4 linked regions of the Drosophila melanogaster genome follow. The protein of the gene in region 1 purifies or fractionates together with the protein of each later gene. This does not show direct contact. Each region holds a gene or a part of one and is shown in the gene's direction. Other genes may lie near its edges. The genes, in order: TpnC41C, kdn, CG10581 and Scp1.

What was found.
Region 2: the proteins of TpnC41C (region 1) and kdn purify together in Drosophila melanogaster (affinity purification with mass spectrometry, with the first as the bait; one large-scale study listed by BioGRID). This does not show direct contact.
Region 3: the proteins of TpnC41C (region 1) and CG10581 purify together in Drosophila melanogaster (affinity purification with mass spectrometry, with the first as the bait; one large-scale study listed by BioGRID). This does not show direct contact.
Region 4: the proteins of TpnC41C (region 1) and Scp1 purify together in Drosophila melanogaster (affinity purification with mass spectrometry, with the first as the bait; one large-scale study listed by BioGRID). This does not show direct contact.

What each region holds. Positions count from the first base shown.
Region 1 is NT_033778.4:5,064,696-5,072,050, reverse strand, and holds TpnC41C (troponin C at 41C), read left to right. Parts: upstream 1-1,840; 5' UTR 1,841-2,063; coding exon 2,064-2,069; intron 2,070-5,046; coding exon 5,047-5,074; intron 5,075-5,127; coding exon 5,128-5,523; intron 5,524-5,587; coding exon 5,588-5,622; 3' UTR 5,623-6,814; downstream 6,815-7,355.
Region 2 is NC_004354.4:6,349,084-6,353,648, forward strand, and holds the start of kdn (knockdown), read left to right. Parts: upstream 1-1,545; 5' UTR 1,546-1,652; coding exon 1,653-1,871; intron 1,872-3,198; exon of another isoform or gene 3,199-3,353; coding exon of another isoform or gene 3,354-3,398; intron 3,399-4,565. Other genes in the region: ND-B16.6 (NADH dehydrogenase (ubiquinone) B16.6 subunit), read right to left, coding at 613-971, 1,039-1,144.
Region 3 is NT_037436.4:21,033,028-21,035,750, reverse strand, and holds CG10581 (uncharacterized protein), read left to right. Parts: upstream 1-1,547; 5' UTR 1,548-1,558; coding exon 1,559-1,604; intron 1,605-1,667; coding exon 1,668-2,191; 3' UTR 2,192-2,197; downstream 2,198-2,723. Other genes in the region: siz (schizo), read right to left, coding at 450-832; Polr3E (RNA polymerase III subunit E), read right to left, coding at 2,279-2,635, 2,700-2,723.
Region 4 is NT_033778.4:2,965,017-2,969,922, reverse strand, and holds the start of Scp1 (sarcoplasmic calcium-binding protein 1), read left to right. Parts: upstream 1-1,870; 5' UTR 1,871-1,939; intron 1,940-2,578; exon of another isoform or gene 2,579-2,606; intron 2,607-2,731; 5' UTR 2,732-2,776; coding exon 2,777-2,828; intron 2,829-4,906.

The sequences.
Region 1 (7,355 bases):
CACACGGGGCCGGCTACACGCAGGCGGCACCGTTGCAGGTAACACTGCTGAGAAACTCTACGAAAATGCCCGTAATACTCGGAGACGGCATAATAGTAGTTAACACTGATGGGAAAACTCTGCGGCAATGCCCGGAATACTCGCATGCGACATGATCACAGTTAATACACGGACTCGTTCATTTGTTACTCATATTCCTCCCTTAGCCATAGCTGTCCCTGTCACACTCGAAAATGAATATGATATTATATAATAAAAAAATTTGATTCTTCACAACGGGCTTGTTCCACAGTTTTTGAAATCGAAGGCCATAGGCCAGACTGTCTTATTTTAGTATTCAGAAAAAATATTGCCACCGACTTAGAGTTGGACTTATCAATCCAAGGGAATCAAACGCCTTTTCTATCGTAGAAAGAATTGATCGTCTTGTTCTGTTACGAAGATACGAATTCATATCATAAGTCCAGTTTGAACTTACAATCCGATCTAGATATCTTTCAAATATGGTGCCGTGATAACGTACTAAACTTAAATGGCTCCAAGTGTAAAGTTATGACCTTTTGCCGTATCAACCAATACACACAACTTGCACTTAAAGGGTCGCTCTTTAGACAGAATAAAACGGGTTGATGATCTTGGTGTTTTTCTGGACCTAAACTTAAATTTTAGACCATATTTCGAATATTAAATAAGGCCAGGGGTGTGCTTGGCTTTATAAAAAGGTGGCCAAAGGAATTTTATGATCCTTACACGACCAAAACCTTAGTCCGTCTGATTTTTGAGTAATGGCCACCTGTCTGGAGTCCTCAATACGTCGTTCACTCGGACCGCATTGAATCGGTCCAAAAAAACGTTTTTCTGTTAACTCGGGCAGCGCCCAAGTTATCAGTGTGTCCAAAGGGGGAAGCTGATGAGTTTGGATATAGTTATCGGTATTCCCAAAGGGGGCATACTGAGCTCTTTCGAGTTTAAAACCAGAGTGGTCTTTATTGTGTCGGAGAAGTCTCCTCTAGCTCTTGGTTACTCAAGTTTTTGTCTTATAGATAAGTGCTTTTGGTTTTAAGTGTACATAGGTTCTTAATGTAAATATAATAATTTTTTTAGATTTTGCACCACTTACGGGGAGCATTTTCGAAATGTATTCAAACATAAATTGGCCAGAAGATAAGCAAATAAAGCAATAGATCCGCTATTCAGCTAGTGAGAGCGGGACCGATTTTTGAAACTTTCTGATCAAAAATGTATATACTTTATAGGATCGGAAAATCAACCTTCTGCCTGTTACATATTTAATAACGAATCTTGTAGTCAAGGGTATAAAAAATATATTCCGTTGTTTTATGTTTCATAATATGATTTTTTCATGATTTTTTATATATAATAACTGCGAGGGTGTATAAGCTTAGGAAATGTTATATTTTTATTCTATTCATAATTTTTTTGACCAATTTCTATAAGTATGCCCAAAAAGATTGGCCACGTCCACAATAAATGTAACCGCTACCAGGTTGCAATTGTGAGTAATCTCGTGAAGAGTGTTTTCTAATTTTGTTTTTTGTGTCTCCATTTCCCTTACACTCCCACACGCTGAGTATCAGAAGGGCGAGAAACAAAATTATAGCGTTCGCTCTTGTTTTTGAATTGCAATTTTTGTTCACAAATACCATTTTATAATACGTTCCAAGATCTAATGCAATGTACGGTTTATAAAAATAAAGAATTTTGATGAATATTGTGTATCTAAAAATAAAACTCTGAGTATTTTTCTGTCTTGTGGATAAAATTATCTTTGAGTTACATGACATACGGAATATTTATGTTGTCTTTTTTATTTGGTTTTAATTGTTGTTTTTGTTTCAACAAAAATAGTTGCAGAGCTATCATCGTATTAAGTCTAAAATGTTCCTGAATGTTGAGATGCATCCACAGAAGACACATAGCCCATATGTGTTTTAATCGCGTCAATACCAAGTTTATTTCTCGTCTTCAATTGTTTATTTAGCTTTTAATTAACGGAGTGTTCAATTTTTTAATATTAGAGATTAATCCAAAGAGCTAAAAAAATGAGCGTAAGTTAATCGGCAAAAAAAATAATCCCAGTATAAGTTTCCAAGCTACTTCGAGTTAAAATTTCAAGATTAAAGGAGTCAAAATTATTTCAGATGATCTCAATACTGAACGTTTTTCAGGGTGCAATCAGTTCAAATAAAATAAGTAACGATATAACGTTTTATATAGAGAGTTAATGCTTAACGCCCACGTTCCAGCAATGTTTGCTCGATAACTTTTCAATTAAGTCAGAGAATAAACATATTGTACATTCAACTAATATTTCTTTAAACATCATTAAACAGCTCACACATGTATTTGATTTGCAAATACTACATTTTTACTTTAAGGAATCTTACGTTTTTGGTCCGTCTGTCAGTCAGTCCGTCTGTCCGCATGTACAGGTACATTTACATCTATATACACCCATTCTTGATCACTAGTCGAATCGACCAGGTCATGTCCATCTTCCTGCCTATCTAAGGTATAACAAGAGAGAATGCTATAGTCGAGTTCGCGAACGCGAATTGCATTATTTTTCTGGGATATCGACAGATATTGGGGAGTAAAATGAGAAAAAAATAAAGAAAAGTGTGGGCGTGACCGATTTGGCGGCTTTAGGGCGTTTGAGTGGCGTGGCAAAAAGTTTTTTGGCAAATCTATAGAAATTTACAAGACCTTCTAGCTTTTATAGTTCCTGAGATCTCGACGTTCATACGGACAGACGGACGTGGCCAGATCGACTCGGCTATTGTTCCTGATCAAGAATATATTTACGTTATATAGTCGAAAACTCTTTCTTCTGCCTGTTACATACTTTTCAACAAATCTAGTAAACCCTCTACGAGTAATGGGTATAAATATCGAAATCCGTGGTTAATTTGAAAGTAGCCTTAAAGATTCTTCTGAATCCGTCGTTTCTATTTTCTAGCTTTTATGGATCCCAAAATCGCGTGTATATGATCAGAATAGCTGACCAACTGACGACCAGATTGACTCGGGTAGTGGTCCTGATACTGATTATGCTTATACCTATATTCTTTTTAGGGACGAAAAAGCTTCTTTCTACAAAAATATCAAAGATGGGGTTTATTGAATTTGTTACTTTTCTAAAACAGAGATTCATATTTAGAAAGAAAAGGTAAAGAAAGTGCTCTAGTTAACAAGTTAAGTGGGTCAAGATTAGTGCAGATAAGTGGAGCTAACTTGAGAACATCTTACTAAGAAATAGAAGAAGAGAGAATGCTATAGTGGGGTTCTCCCAGTTTTCTGCGGTATTATGGCGTTAGAGTGGGCGCGGCAAAAAGATTTTTGGAAAATCGATACAAATTTAAAAGACATAAAAGTTTTTTTGCAAATCGATAGAAATTTACAAACAAAAAAATTTAAAAATATCAAAACATTTTTAAAAAGTGTGGGCAATTTTCTGCGATTTGTGGTCGTTAGAGTGATCGTGGCAGCATGAGTCAATGAACTTGCCTTCCGTATATGTCTCTAGAATCTGTAAGCTTAATTTCAGAAAGCTGAAATCGAGACGCTGAATACGGACAGACGGACATGGAAATATCAACTCGGCTTTTGATGCTGATCAAGAATATATATACTTTATATGGTCTGCCTGTCTGGAAATCTAGTTAACACTTTTATCCTACGAGTAACGGGTTGATAGAAAAATTGTTTTGCACGCCCACTCTGACGCCCACAAGCCGCCCATTTTTCTCATTATATTCTCTAATTTCTCCCTATGTCCAAAAATGTCTCGTTCACACTTCCAGCTGAGAAATAGCAATTTATCATGTTTTTGAAGCCTACGGATATCCGATCTTTTAGAGATCCCTCTGTAATTGCTTACATATATTTGTTTATGAAGAGGTATCACGGACTCCTCCCATATATATAAAGGGTAAAGTAGAGGCTTGCATAAGACTTTCGCACAGAGCCTAAGCACTCAGCGTGTTAAGACTGGCTTAACTCGCTGAAGATCGTAAAGTAGTGAGCTTTCGTTTGAAGTGGGGCAAAATTTCAATTTGGACTTCTAAGCCGCTTAAGAGTAAGGGTGTTCGTCGGGGAAGTTTAATTCCCACGATCCCTCTTTCATATTTTTCATCTTAGCTTCAAACTCCTTCACCACCGTACTTTTCGGTCGAAAATCATCAGAACACTTCAAAAAATAAAATGTCACTCACGCAAGAAAATTTAATATTTTCCTTTTTAATGTTATCGGCTTTGGAAGACAAATCTTAAAATTAAAGTAGACATGATGATTGGGGACTTCGGGTACTGTTTATTTTAATGATATATAAATCTTGGTAAGCCTATCACCTCTCCAAAATAATGAGAATTATTATTAAGTTAATTTTTTAATTAAAAAAAATGATTTGTTTTCCCACCGTTCGTCTGTCGTCAACTCTCACTACCGCATAAAAGCTGTCGATCATATAACGATAGGGCAGTGTGCCCGGCTTAGGACTTGTCTTAGCCGACTAGAGTTTTTGTTGGTGTTGGCTAAATGTTTGTACTGAATGAAATATTTCGCCCCCGGTTTATTAACTTTTCCAATAACTTTTCCACTTACCGGAATAGACTCGTTTATTGGCGATTTTCTTTCGTTGCTATTAGTGTGACCCATCATGCAATTCTTGGCTTTAACCTTGAATTTTACAATTTTATAAAATCAAGCAAGGTAGGACCTCCTTTGGAAGGGACAATTTTAGCAATTCAGCTATGTACACACCACAAGGCGGCTTTAAAAATGGCGAATATTGGAGGAGGAAAGCCGCTTTGCATTCCAATCGATTTCCAAAACTATCGTTGACCTTACGTGAAATAAAAACTAATCACTGGCATTAGATTGACATCAAACCACACATCAGGCAGTTAACAATTAAGAATTCAAACACAGTTAAAGTCATGACGCATAAATATATTAAATGAAATTGTATTTTAGTATTATGCCTATATTGTATATTTCTAAATAAACACCCTTATTTTTCTTAGGATGAATTGACTAAGGAGCAAACTGCATGTAAGCTTATAACCCATTTACTGATTTCTTAACTAAAAAGCATTTCCTTATAGTACTACGTAATGCATTTAATGCTTTTGACCCTGAAAAAAATGGATATATCAACACAGCTATGGTGGGTACGATACTTAGCATGTTGGGTCATCAACTTGATGATGCAACTCTTGCTGACATTATCGCTGAAGTCGATGAGGATGGTTCGGGCCAAATCGAATTTGAAGAATTTACCACCCTGGCAGCCCGCTTCCTTGTGGAAGAGGACGCTGAAGCTATGATGGCTGAATTGAAGGAAGCTTTCCGCCTTTACGACAAAGAAGGAAATGGATATATAACTACTGGTGTTCTTCGTGAAATCCTGCGCGAACTAGACGATAAATTGACAAATGACGACCTGGACATGATGATTGAGGAAATTGATTCCGATGGATCGGGTACTGTTGATTTTGATGGTATATAAATCATACAGCTGAATTACAAACGCTTTGCTATTTTATAACATATATTATTTTATAGAATTTATGGAAGTAATGACCGGTGGCGACGACTAAAACAATATCAAAAGAGTACATCGAAATAAGTATTTTAATTTAAACAATGCAATCAAAATTGAATGACATGAGAAAAAATTATATTATATTATTTTGTCTAAAGTAAATAAGTAAATTGATCGTATGAAAACGTAAAATATTTTATTCTTACGCATTTTTTTAAAACCCTTTTAAGTTACTTTAAGTAGTCCTGCCAAATGGAATAAATCTCTATCGGTTCCACGCAAATAGTATAGTTTAGTTTTGTATAGTTTAGTTTATAGTTTATAGTCACGTTGGCCGTGTTGTTAGAGGCCTTGGACTGCTTGCGCCACTTTAGTCGAACTGCATTTTCTTTGTTGCTATCAGTCTGACTCAACGAGCCATTTGTTTCCCCCCTTTGCTTCAGACTCTTGGCTGCTCGGAATTTAACGTTTCTGTAAGGGAGGTGGACGAGTACGGAGCGTTAAGAAATTTTTGGTACATCGCAGATTGAAGTCCAAGCGGATTAACGGATTCACTCGCCAGTCAATTTAGAAAAATTAGCTGGAAGACGGATAATTTTAAGGAATTATGCGTAAAAACGACAAGGATTGTTTTTAGTCAAAAAGCACGAAGTGATAAACAATGCCTTAAGAGAATTATAAAAAAGATATTGTCCGATTAATAAATCTGGAGAATTGAAAGGTAAAACATTAAAGCAACTAGAGCGATACAATGAAAATGATACAGGCCAATATTAAATTCCTCATTAAGCATTTATAAGAGAGGATAGTCTTATCACTAAGCTTCGGGTGGTGTTTGACGCAAAGACCAAAACAACAGATGGGAAAAGCTTTGGTATTCACATGACTAGGACATACATTTAGAGGATAGGCAGCACGTGCTTTCCCCTCCCACCACCTCTAGCTGACCAAATTGCAGCTGAAGTCATTGTTCTGCAAGTGGGTCATTATCTACTCTACCTCCACCGCCGGGAATGTCGGTGTCAGCTAGCGCAGCATCAGCACCGGAAGACAGGCTAACGACTCTGGAGCTCTGCAGCGTACCGATGATGAAAGGGCATACGGACCTTGTGTTTGGCTAAGCGTTGGGCCGCTGAGCTTACGAGCGGCTGGCGAAGCGCTGGCCACTCGTTCGATTTTCGATTTTTTTTTTTATCAAATTATAAAATTGTACTTAATTATAGAAATAAAAGAAACTAAGACCTTGAAGTATTCATTTTTCATATGGTGAAAACCGAAAGCATGCAACTCCCTGCAAGGATTCCAACTCCAAGTAGTATTTTCGACTGCTTAGATTGGCGCCCGAACAGTTCGCTCATCACGAGGATGGAGAATGAAAAAAAGGGGAAAATGCTTGCGACCGGTGCACCGCGGTGATGAGAAAAAACTATAAAATGTGAACAAAAAGTCCAAATAATAAAATACAATAGGCTGATACGCACCACGGTGACAAGATAGTTCACGGGTGTGATGTGCCAGATGTGACAACTAAATATTTAAAAAATCCAAATATGAAATAAATATAAAAATTAAATAAATATATATAAAAATAAAAAAAATATGGCAAAGCGTTAAGCTTGTTCAAGGGCATAAGATAAGATAAGATAAGATATATGAAATCAATTATGGTGCACGGTCGTGAGGGGAAACCCTATTGTGCGGAGACTTACCAGAAACGCTAAGAGGCGTTGAATGCGATCCATACCTTATTAGGCAATGCCAAAACTGACGCCTGCGGGCCATCTTACC
Region 2 (4,565 bases), on another chromosome or scaffold:
GCCCATGTATAGATATATATTACTTACTTATAATTACGACTACTTAATGTTAGAGCTCACGATCACCCGCTATTGTGTAATAACCCGAAACTCCAAATACTGACACACAAAACGAGCGTCAAATCGATGTTGAATTCAATAAAAAATAAAAATAAAATAAATCAAGAATGTTTTTCAATGGCTCAAGATTTCTTCATTGCTATTTTAATAATCCCTATTGAATCATAAGCATTTCGTAGTGTTTTATGTTGTGAATTTATTATTTTTACTAAGCAGCAGATTTTCAATTAGATTTTAATTTGGTGACACAGCCAACTGGGATTCCCCGCTGTTGGTGCCACCAAATCCATCTAATTTGGCCATTTTTGAGCACTGCCCGTGGGCTATATTGCAGCTGGACGGCAACGCCCCCGGTTTGGTAAAAATCTCTGGCTACCTCGGGTGGTCCAGCACAGGATTTGGATTAAACACACACAAAGAGAATCGGTATTTCAGCCAATCTGATCTGACATTATAATTGGTCGATACTTTCTTTTTTTGGCGCTTAGGCGGATGATCTACAAACAAAAAGGTGCGTGCTTAGGCATTAACTAATCCATTAACTAGGCCGATTTAGGACCAGAGCTTCAAGTGGGCACGCTTGGCGTACGACTTCCAGTCGGAGTGGGCGTAGAACTCCTTGAAAATGGGCGTGACCAGGGTATCCTCGGGCAGGGTCTTGAAAACGGGCTCACCATACCAGGTGCCCACCTCCCAGCCGGGCACGTTCTTCATCAGCTCGGCCTCCTCGTCCCGATTGCGTCGCAACTGGCGCAGGAATTCGCGATCCCGCTCGGCGACCAAAATGGGAAAGATGACATTCTGGGCGGAACGCATCTCGATCTCGTCGCGCTTCACCTTCTTGGCGGTCAAGTAGTAGATGCCCAGGCCAACGGCTGTCACAACCACATAGGTGCCGATGGTGGTGAAGCCTGCCGAGGGATTGATATAGTTACCAGCACATATATGGTTAGATCAATGGGATTTGGAGGAGCTCACCTGTGAAGTAGCTCTTCGGTGGCACGCGGGCAAAGGGTATCTTCTTGTAGCCGCCCGGCGGTGGAAGGTCCTGTTTCGGGGGACAATGCGGCACTGCCGTCGCCATGGTGACTCCTCCTGTGGTACAAAGTATATATCAGTCGGCTGTTTGGCCGGTAAACTGGGACTTACGCTCGAATAAAGGGAAAAAATCTGTTGAATTGTCAAAAAAATGACGTTTTTTGCATAACACCAAGGCAGTGTGGCCTGACTTGGGGCAGGGTAAAATACCAAGTAGTGACGAAAATATACCAAAAAGTGGCGAATACTGCAAACGAAGTTGAAAAATATTTTCTAACGTGAAAAGTTGAGTCAATTTATTTGATTTATATTATATTATTATCGAAAGACAATCACAACAACAAGTCACAGTAGAACGTGCAAACGTTTATACGGTATTACAGTATATACAGTATTCCGAACTGTTTGATACCATCCCTATATTTATCGCAATCGCTTTCCTGTCAAAATAAATTTTTGTATCCTACATCACTAGCTTTCACATTCCCAAAAACAAGAGAAAAAGCGAACTAGAAACTTCGAAATATCGTATATATTTACAGCTAAAAGTAGTAATGTTCGTACGCCGTTTCGGAAATGGCTCTTTGGGCCATCATTTTGCCTTTCAACGACGTTATTTGGCTAAAAATTCTATGTGGGACTCGAAGTCCATTGGGACTCCAAGTTCATTCCGAATGCGTTCCAAAAAGGATAACGTGACTGGCAATCTCAAGGAGCAGCAACAATCGGCGACTCCGGAAACCTTGAACATGCCTGATATGCAGGATGCCCAAGTGAGTTTTCTTTTAATATAAATCTCCCTTCATCTGATTTTTCCATAACAGCGAGAAAGGTGACCAAGACCATATGACCATAAACAAATTTTATTTAATATTTGCCAAGATCTGTTTTTCCAAATTTCGTTCAAAAATGAATCAGTTTTTTGGCCACAACTTTAAAAATATTTGTCCAAATATGGAGTTCCATATCTCGTTGAGCTCGTATTTAAATTCCCTATCAAACTGTATCCACAAATGGAAATTCTATTTTTTGACCATTTTTCGCAAATTTTGATGATGTTACCCCTTACAAAAAATGCGAAAAATTACCAAAAAATTAGTTTTTCCAAATCGGTCAAAAAGTGATTGGGATGGTTAGCCTTCGCAATTAGCTGCTCAAAACAGTTATTCTTTTCGCTTTGTGATCACTTTTAGTCAAGTTATGATTAAAATGCCCATCTATAATTTTGTAATTTTTGCAAAAATAATTTTTTTCGATTTTCCGTCATAAAAGAATCAGTTTTTTTTTGCCATAACTTTAAAAATAATTGTCTGAATACGGAATGCAATACCTCGTCGAGCTCGTATTTAAATTCCCTGTCGAACTGTATCAAAAAATAGGAATTCTATTTTTTGGCCAATTTTTGCAAATTTTGATGATGTTACCCCTTACAAAAAAAAAATTGACCCAAAAATTAATTTCCCTAAATCCTTCAAAAAGTGGTAGGAATCCTAGCACTGCGAATTCGCTACTAAAAGTAAAAAAACTACTAAAACTAAGTAATTAAAACTACTAAATTGTAAACTGTACGACAAGTTTTAACAAAGTTATGATGATAAACGTCTTCGTGAATATCGAACTTTTTATTGATCTGTGGCCTTTTTCGGCAAAGCTTTATTATAAAACTTCAGTTGAAATATGATTATTTTTTACAAAAGTCGGTGTTTGATTTTCCCGCAATAAAAAGATATTTCCCTCACACGACAGTATTTATACTCTATAGCAAACAGACAATGTCAGGGAGCGGTTTAAAATGCATGGAAATGGGGGGTGTCGACTGGGATAGCTAATAGACTTTTTTAAAATTGGAATTGAAAACTAGTCTGCACTCGAGCAAATGTCAATTTATATGGATCTTAGTAGAGCAAAAATGCATCCAAAGCATATAACATCTATTTCAATTAAATAAGTTGCGTGGGCGTTTTTTTTCAAGTACCAGAGCAGGCAGCCCACCTTAAGTGTGACCTTTCTGGGGGAGAGCGGAAAACGCCGTTGCGTGGGAATTAGCGGGTGTTCTTTGCGCTCGTGCCGCCCCTTCCCGCAGAAAATGCGATTGGCGCCATTCAGTTGCCGCGCAGCTGCTAGACGAGAGACCCACGAAAAGAACACTTCACTTCCAGAAAAAGGAAAGCAAATTTTTTTCTGTGTGTGTGTTTTTTTCTAGCCAAGGCGAAAGTGTTTTTCTTCTACTCGCAGCCGTACGTAATCGCATTGCCATGTCGCTCTATCGCATTTCCGCACGGAAATTGTCCGAGGCACAGGTGAGTTCTTCATTTTAACTTTTCGAATTACCCCTTTGCTTTTCGACCAGTGTATCGAATTCCCATGCTTTCCTGGGATCTCTATCCACCTCCTTCCAGTTAGCTAACCGTAAAGTGTGTCGCTTCTGTTGTTAAAACCTTCGTCCTCTCCCCTCCCTTTCGCTCTTCCTCAACCCATCCCTCATCTGATCCTACTCCTCTTTTCCCATCCTCTTCTTCTTCTTCAACACACGTCACGCTGGAATTGAAAAAAAAAGAATTTCCAGACATGTGCTTGCGATTAAGAACTTTATTCTCTTCATTGTTGTTGGCGAATGATAAGTGCTAACGTGTATGCATGTACGTACGTATGTGTGTGCCTGTGTGTATGTGTGTCTTCTAATACATTACATAATCGCCAAATGAAATTCGCCCATTTCTTTTTTTTTTTGGCAACATCGGAATGCCTATAAATAAAAATCTCTATATTCTTTGTGGGTTTAACGAACTTTGTCTCTTTTTGGGCCGCCCGCTTTAAATTTTTTTTTGGTAAATTTCCACAAGTCCGGCTTGATTTTTTTTGGGTCTTATTCTTGTAAATTTACAACAACAAAAACAAATGCCACGGCGCAGAGCGAAGTGAAGAAAAAGAGCGTAAGGCAGAGAGAGTTGGTCGAGCAAGAGAGAGCAGAGAAAAAAACAGAGAATACCATTTTCCCCTTTCATTCGTTCCCGTTTCGTTTCTCATGCGTGTCACTATGCTTATGCTGTGCTTTTGTTGTTGCCAAAAGCGATAGAAGGAAGACACACCATCTCTCTTTTGCAAAAGAGAAGTGTCCGCCGAATGACCTTAAAGCAAAAGGAGGAGCAGCAGCACGCCCACTTACCACCCACCGGCAATGCACATTTGCATGTGAGCGGATTGCATAATGCCAAGAACGAGAAAAATGACAAAAAGAATAGTACTTGCGATTTTGTAATGAGAAAAATCAATAGCACACACACACACACGTACGTACAAATGTACACCCACGGCGTGCACACATACACACAAAAAAGGGCTTGCAGGACGAGCCTCCTTTTGATTTTTTTCGGGGGTGATTTGCTTTCTCTTTGACCTGCGTGGGGTAATAAGTACACAGGCAAAAAAGGAAATTAAGGTCAATGCGGCAACTTTAATAACAAACA
Region 3 (2,723 bases), on another chromosome or scaffold:
GTAGTATAGCAGAAAAGATTTTAAATATATATTGTTTCAAAATATAATCAATTTAAAGATGAATACTATCTCCTGACTGATTATAATTACTTAATGGAATATTTTGGCTCTTAATGAGATCACAAAATAAACAACCGCATTTTACAGAGTATTTAGTGAGAAATTGTTCTTTGTAATATGTAAAATGCTCGTTGACACATCTAGAACAATATCGACAAAATTCTTTTTAAATATGTTGAAATCAAATTGCTGAACATTGCAAATTTTTTCTGGCCCCCAAATGCCATGAAAATTATTTTGCAACCGCAATTTTAAAGTGCATCTCTTCCTATTGGAAGTTTCCATTTAAGCGGGATGTCCAATAGGAAAATATGATATGCCATTAATTCACCCTTATTTAACAGATATTTGAATATATTACTAGATAGTAAACATTGGTGGGCACTCACTTATCATCGAGATCGACGGGCAGTCGCTTGAGCTCCGACATGTCCAGCTCCAGTCGCAGATTGGACACTTCACAGAGCAGGCGATCGCGTTCCAGACTCAACTCCTTGATCTTGGCGTGCAGGGCATTGTTCTCCCGGAGCAGCTCGTCCACATTGTAGGGCATCGCATGCACATGGTGATGGGGCATGTTGATGGAGAGGGGCAGGGGCAGGGAAACGGGTCCAGGTGGGGCGACACCCCCAGCGGAACCGCCCGGCCCTCCTTGGTTTCCCACAAACATTATGGAGCTGGCCATCAGCAGGGACTGCGTGGTCTGATGCAGCAGCAATTCCTGGTCGCCATCCGAGTTCTGGGATAGATTCTTCAGATCGGCCTCGGACATGTTTTGTTTATAACCTTAGCGGGGATCGGCTGCACTCCTAATCGATGTGCTTTTGTGGCCAAAACATTATAGCCCCGCCACGCACACGCACTCGCGCGAATGAGGGAAGGTGGTGGAGAGGGTGATAAAACAGCGAAACAGGCAGAACCACTTTGAATCTCACAATAAGAACTGAAAATGCAGCTTGCTGCGAGTTGAAACTTCACTCGTATTGTAATTGAATGACCTTCGTATATTATACTTCAGAGCCAGCACTTCGAATCGCGAGCAACAGTTGGTGCGGATCGGAGGGGGATTACGAATATTCTCGGAATTACGGATTTTCAATTCACGCGCGACGAAAAACACGACGCACTCGTCGTTCGACGTTTGGAAACAGTGTGGACGTGCTGGGGGGCACCGCAGTGTGACCATAGAGCATGCAACTCAAAATACGCTATCGTATTCAAAAAATATACCGCATCAAATGTGGCATTTTAAGACGACCGTTTTATTTTAAAATATATTGTTGTTTTCATCTTATTTAAGAAGGGCATAAACAATCTTAAGTTTATGCTCATTATTATACATAAGCATTTTCTTTCTTTGATAAATTTAAAACTCATTAAATCTAAATATGTGTGCATTAATTAAGATTTATTTTGGAACTGCCAATGATCCATTCCTGGTTGATCTAGTTCACCACAAAAATATTCTATAAAATTGGTATTGTAATAATAAGCCGACATGAAGAACCAAAAAAATATAACCATTATACTAACTGGGCCACCAGGTGCAAATTTAGCTGGGAAAATATTTGCTATTTGTTTATTATGTATGTAATCATGATTTTCAGGAGTGGGTAAAACTACACTGGTCCACAAAATATGCTCGGCTCTGCAGGATAGAGGACGCATTCTTCAAGGATTCTACACAGAGGAAATGCGAGGTGAGGGCACCAGCCAAAGAATCGGCTTCGACGTGGTCACGTTAGCCGGAAAACGAGCAATCCTATCTCGCAAGAATCCCGGGGACCAGCTGCGACGACCCAAAGTGGGAGAGTATTCGGTGTTTGTGCAGGACTTCGACAGTCTCGCTCTGCCAGTACTTGGCACACAGGATTCCCAACCAGAGCCGGATCTCCTGGTCGTGGATGAAGTGGGCAAAATGGAGCTGCTTAGCAAGCGATTTGAGTCGGCCATGGCTGATCTCCTGAAGAAAAAGCGGGCCCTATTGGTCACCATACCCGAGAAATCAACATTGGCTTTGGTGGAGCAGCTGAGAAAGTCAGCAGGATCCAAGATTTACCAGGTGACCAAATTCAATAGGAACGCCTTGGCTGGAGAGATTACAGAAGAGATTACAAAAGCACTTCTTTAACAAAGTAAAATTGTTGGTCTTTTTAATAGTGCCTAGATGTATAATCGTGCTGCCGATTCTCCGCCGCTGGGAGATCATCATCCGATGCTACGCATCCACGGAGCCAGTTGTTGAGTGATTCATTGCGGGCGGCGGCATGGCTGAAGTCAGTGACTGGGATTCGCTCTTCCTCGTCGAACGTTTCCGAACACGTTTGGTTTCCCTAGCCCAGTCCATTTCATTGTAGTGCTGCTCGGAAGCGGTCCAGTGGTACTCCTGTCGGCTGACCAGTTCCGGGTACTTTTGCTCGAACTCCTTGTCGGGTGGCAGTAGCAGCTCCCACCGTTTTGTGTTATTCACCCGGGCCACAGTCTTCAAAACGTCAAGTGTTTCCGCAGGAGGTAACTGGGTGGCGGCCATTACCTGAGCTCGGAACAGGTAGGGCGTGCGGGAGAAACGAAAGAGCTGCGGATGGATTTGAGGAGATTAGTACAAGATAAGTGATCGCTACACCCATACTATAACTCACTATATAATCTCTGGCGCGAATCAT
Region 4 (4,906 bases), 2.1 Mb from region 1:
GAGCAGAGCTCATTGACAACAATAACCAACAAGTCATTGTTTACAAACAAGAAAGAATAAACAAACTGACTACAGTATCTAAAGCTCTAACAATTTCTATACAAAAGGGCAGTTCCGTTCGTTTAGAAATTGCTCTTAGTTTACAAACCCAGATTAGACTCCTAAAAGTAGAAACTGCCATCCAGTGGGCGCGACAAGAGGTCGTAACACACTAGTACTAAATGAAGATGAATTAATTGAAATAGAAAGAATATTTAAGGGAAACAACATGTTATTACTATCGATGAAAGAAGCTATGGCGTTTTCCGAGGTCTCTATTCTACATAATAAGACAACACATTTGTACATCGTAAAAGTCGCAAACTTTATAGAAATACTAAGATATCATTGTAAAACCAATAGTTAAAAACAACAGAACTACAACAACTTAGACTTTCAAGAAATCTTTGCTTTCGAAAATCTTACCTATATATACATATATAAATATGCGATGAGAAAAAAATTGTAAATATAAGAAATTAATTAATTAAATTAGTTGATTGCTCTCCAAATTTAGTTCTGGGAAAGAAAGATCTGTGTAGTTTTAGCAACTCCGACAACTTATCCAGAATGGAAGAGGTCGACGACGGAATCATCCTATTAAACGATTACGATGGAATCATATCCTGGATCCTCACAGAGCTTCACCTACTTTGTTTAGCTATCAAACGACTCGATGATTATCGACAACAGGGGGATTCGCCAACTTGGAACCTACAGCCCTGTCTCCTAGTTCGCCTCTTGTACAATTTACAGATGAAGAAAAAGAAAGACTGAGGTTATATCTCTTGAAACACTGAACCGTTGCATATACATAAAAGGCCAACAGCATAACCCTACTGACGCTCTTCGACAATACTCTGATTATCATCCTGGGCCTTCACACCTATAGTCAAAGGAAGAGAAGCATAAACTTGCAGCTTAGACCTATACCGGGAATGGAAACAAAAGTTAACATCAGCTACCTCAGTTCAATAACATTCCCTACATAAATTAGAAAGTTAAAGTTAATAACAATGAATTCAACATCGGTCTACAACAGAATGTAATAGAGTAACAAACCCCAAATATGCAAGCTCAGCGCCACCAAGCAGATTTCCCAAAATGTGTTTGGCAATTGTTTCCGCTCCCACCAGCGCTTGTGATTCCAAGAAGCCGACGTCGATCCTCTGCCAATAAGGACAGCACAGCCGACAGCTAAAGACTCGCAGCTTATAAAGACGATGTTCTCACTTAAGTTTATAGTCCAACTCTTTTAATGCTCGTTACTCATAGAGTAAAAGGGTATACTAGATTGGTTGAAACAGGCAGAAGAAAGCGCTTCCGACAATAAAATGTATATATATTCATGATCAGGATCAATGTATCGATTTGCAAAAAAAAATTTTGCCACGCCTACTCAAACGCCCCAAAGCCGACAAGCCGGTCACCCCCGCACTTTTGAAAAATTGTTAGATATTTTTCATAATTTTATTGGTCGTGTATATTTCTATTGATTTGCCAAAAAACTTTTTGCCACGCCCACTCAAACGCCCTAAAGCCACCAAACCGGTCACGCCCACACTTTTTTAACAATTTTTTATTTTTTTTTCATTTTATTTTTTTTCTAATATCAATCAATCAATCGATATCAATCGATTTTCCAGAAAAATTATGAACTTTCGCGTTAGCATTGACCCTAGCTTAGTTACTGGTATCTGATAATCAGGGAACTCGACTATAGCCTTCTCTCTTGTTTTATATTATTATACCCGTTACACGTAGAATCAACGAATCTAATTTTACTCTACACGTATGGGGCATAAAAACATATATATATTTTCTTATATGTATATATATTGTTTTTATATAATATTATATCTTAACAGTAATAGACAACTATAGACCGCCGATCACAATGGTAATAAGACATAAAACTGTACATTTGAATGTTGAATATTGTATCTCCTATATATGTATATGTATATGTACATAAAACCGAAAATAAGAATTGTGAGTTTTATAAAATGTGTGCTTTATAATAGGTTATGCATGTACTATAAATATATACTTGTGAATATACATGTGTGTAAGCTTGCAAAAATAGTAAATATTTTTCTATTAATAATCATGTCAATTAATTATCAATTCTTTAAATGTTAAAATGATTTTTGATATATTTTACTATTAGTGTTCAAATACAAAATTAAATAGGGGTGAATTGTTCGCTTTTTTTCCATTTTAAATGGTTAATTAGAGCATAATCTATATGGAAACTTTCACGAATAACATTGTAACAGGTAGGCTTAATATTTGGTAGTAGAAAACTGAATTGTTATTGATTGTGATTTCAAAACAGTGCTATAGTTTACTTAATACAATAATTACATTTAGTACAATGGAAACTCCTAATTAAAAATAAACTACCTTTTGAAAGAGAACAAATATATACAAATGCACTTTCTATACAATACACATTTGTATGTATAATGTTTAGATACATACCATGTAAATAATGTTGCCAAAGTGTACGACTTTTGGCAAAAGGTTTAGCAAATTTAGTTAGTCTGAAGTAAGCTATTCCGAAGGTAAGGAGCTCATATTTACTATTCAAGAACTTTTTACCTAAAAGTACTATTTATAGATACCAAAAAATTTTAATTTATTTATAGACTTTTATTAGTTCAGATAGTAATGGTATTTCTACTTTTAGCTATTTACATTTTATGAGGATAAGCTCCAAACAAATTCCGTCATAATGGCTTATTCCTGGGATAACCGTGTCGATTTTGTCGTTCGGTATATGTATGGTGAGTAGAAAAGGACTTAGGCTTATTAAACGTATCCTATAGTGAATTAAAATACCTTAAAAATTTACGTATATTTTATACAAAAAATTTAAGTTTATATTCCATTGCATTGAATACATAAAGCCATTTTTATACATATCTTCGGAACTATCCGAAATCCGATATTTTAACAATATATACATTTTATTTTAATTTTATTTAATATGGGACGACTATATCATATAGCTGCATTAAGAACTGCTTGAAAATTAAACACCCAAAATAGAATATAAATAAAAGTTTCGTTTTTTAACACTATGGGTGCTAAGTAGACATATATGTTTTTGTAATTACTGAAAGGGTATTTGGATAGGATTAATCAAATTTGCAAGCGCACAAATACAATAAAAATAACATTTACAATTGCTGCGGATCAGATTTATGTAACAATCTCAAGTCTGGCAATTTAAATGTTGCGCCATATTTATGATGTAGTTTTATAATCCGTTAAAATGAGGTCACATGGAACCGGTCAAGTGGTCATTGCAGCTTATATGAGGTTAAGCCAAAGACATTTGAAGAACAAGATGCGTAACGCCATACAATTTTTTGCACACAATTTTATCGGGATGGCTCCAGAGGTGGCTCAGCAGTTCTTTTCTACGCATACAGTGACAGCCGACAACTGTATGGTAATGCATTGTAAATTTGACAATTTACAAGTTCATAGACTTTACATCTGTATTATCTTTGTTTAATTGGCAACATGTAAAAAATTCTTGGCTTGCATGGCCTTAACCAAAGACCCTAGTGTCTAGTTTCTTTGCCTTAACTATATTATTATTTGAATATATATGTACATAATATCACAAAATAAATTTCAAAGATGACTATATTAGAACAAAGGTTATTAGGGCGTTCACTTGCCCCTTGTGAAAAATTAATAAGGCAATCATTGTTGCAATAAACGTGTTCGTGTCTCAAGATATGACTTTTGCAATAAAAAGTTTTCATATTTTTATTCATTTTATAAATATTTATTTTCTACTACTTATTATTTTTGTGAAATATCTTTTCCTCAATGTAATGACTTCTTTTTGGAAAAGTTATGTTTTAATTTAAAATTTTATTATTTTATTTTATTATCCGTTTGATTAAAGCTGACTATACGCCGAGCTTCTCTATTTTTTGAAAGTTTCGCTATATAACCTAGTTTATATATTTAATTAAAGTCGTTTTGTTGCAATATCGTACTTTAGGTGATATATTCAAGGTGTAAATTCGTAATTATTATTTTATTTTATCATATTGCTAAGAAATTGGGTATACTAGGGTATACTAGACTCGTTGAAAAGTATGTAACAGCCAGAAGGTAGCGTTTCCGACTATATAAAGTATATATATTCTTAATCAGGATCAGTAGCGGACATGTCCATCTGTCCGTATGAACGTCGAGATCTCAGGAACTATAAAAGCTAGAAGGTTGAAATTAACCATACAGGTTCTAGAGATAAAGACGCACACTCATTTTTTCATATTTTTATTAGGCTTTAAAATTTCTATGGATTGGCCACAAAACTCTTTGCCACGCCCACTCTGACGGCAGGTTACAGCTAGGTTATGTTGATCATTAACCGAAATTATATTAGGCTAAGTTAAGCCGAGCTTTAAATCTCTCTAAATGCCTATGGGACTCTTGTGGACTCCAAATGGCAACCTCAACTTCACTTGGTCGTAGGGAAAATATTTCAGAGTGTTCAGACAACACGGTTTTCGAGTGTTCGCTTGGATCTCCAATCGCTAAGCTATGAAATCACTGAAATCTATATTCATTGTTAATGGTTTACAATATTAATCTTTGTGCAAATTAAAAGTGTTCCTTTTTAATTATTTGAACAAAAAATTTTTATTTTATTATAATTTAATATTTTATTCATGATAGACCTTTTCACTTATACTATTACAAGACATTCTTTTTATCTCTTGTCTTAAATTTAAAACTGTTCACGATCTCGTCCCGATTCAGACTGATCTTCTAAATATTAATCCTAATCCACTCAACCTTGGCCAGAAGCTTTTCTTTAGGATTTTCTTGAACT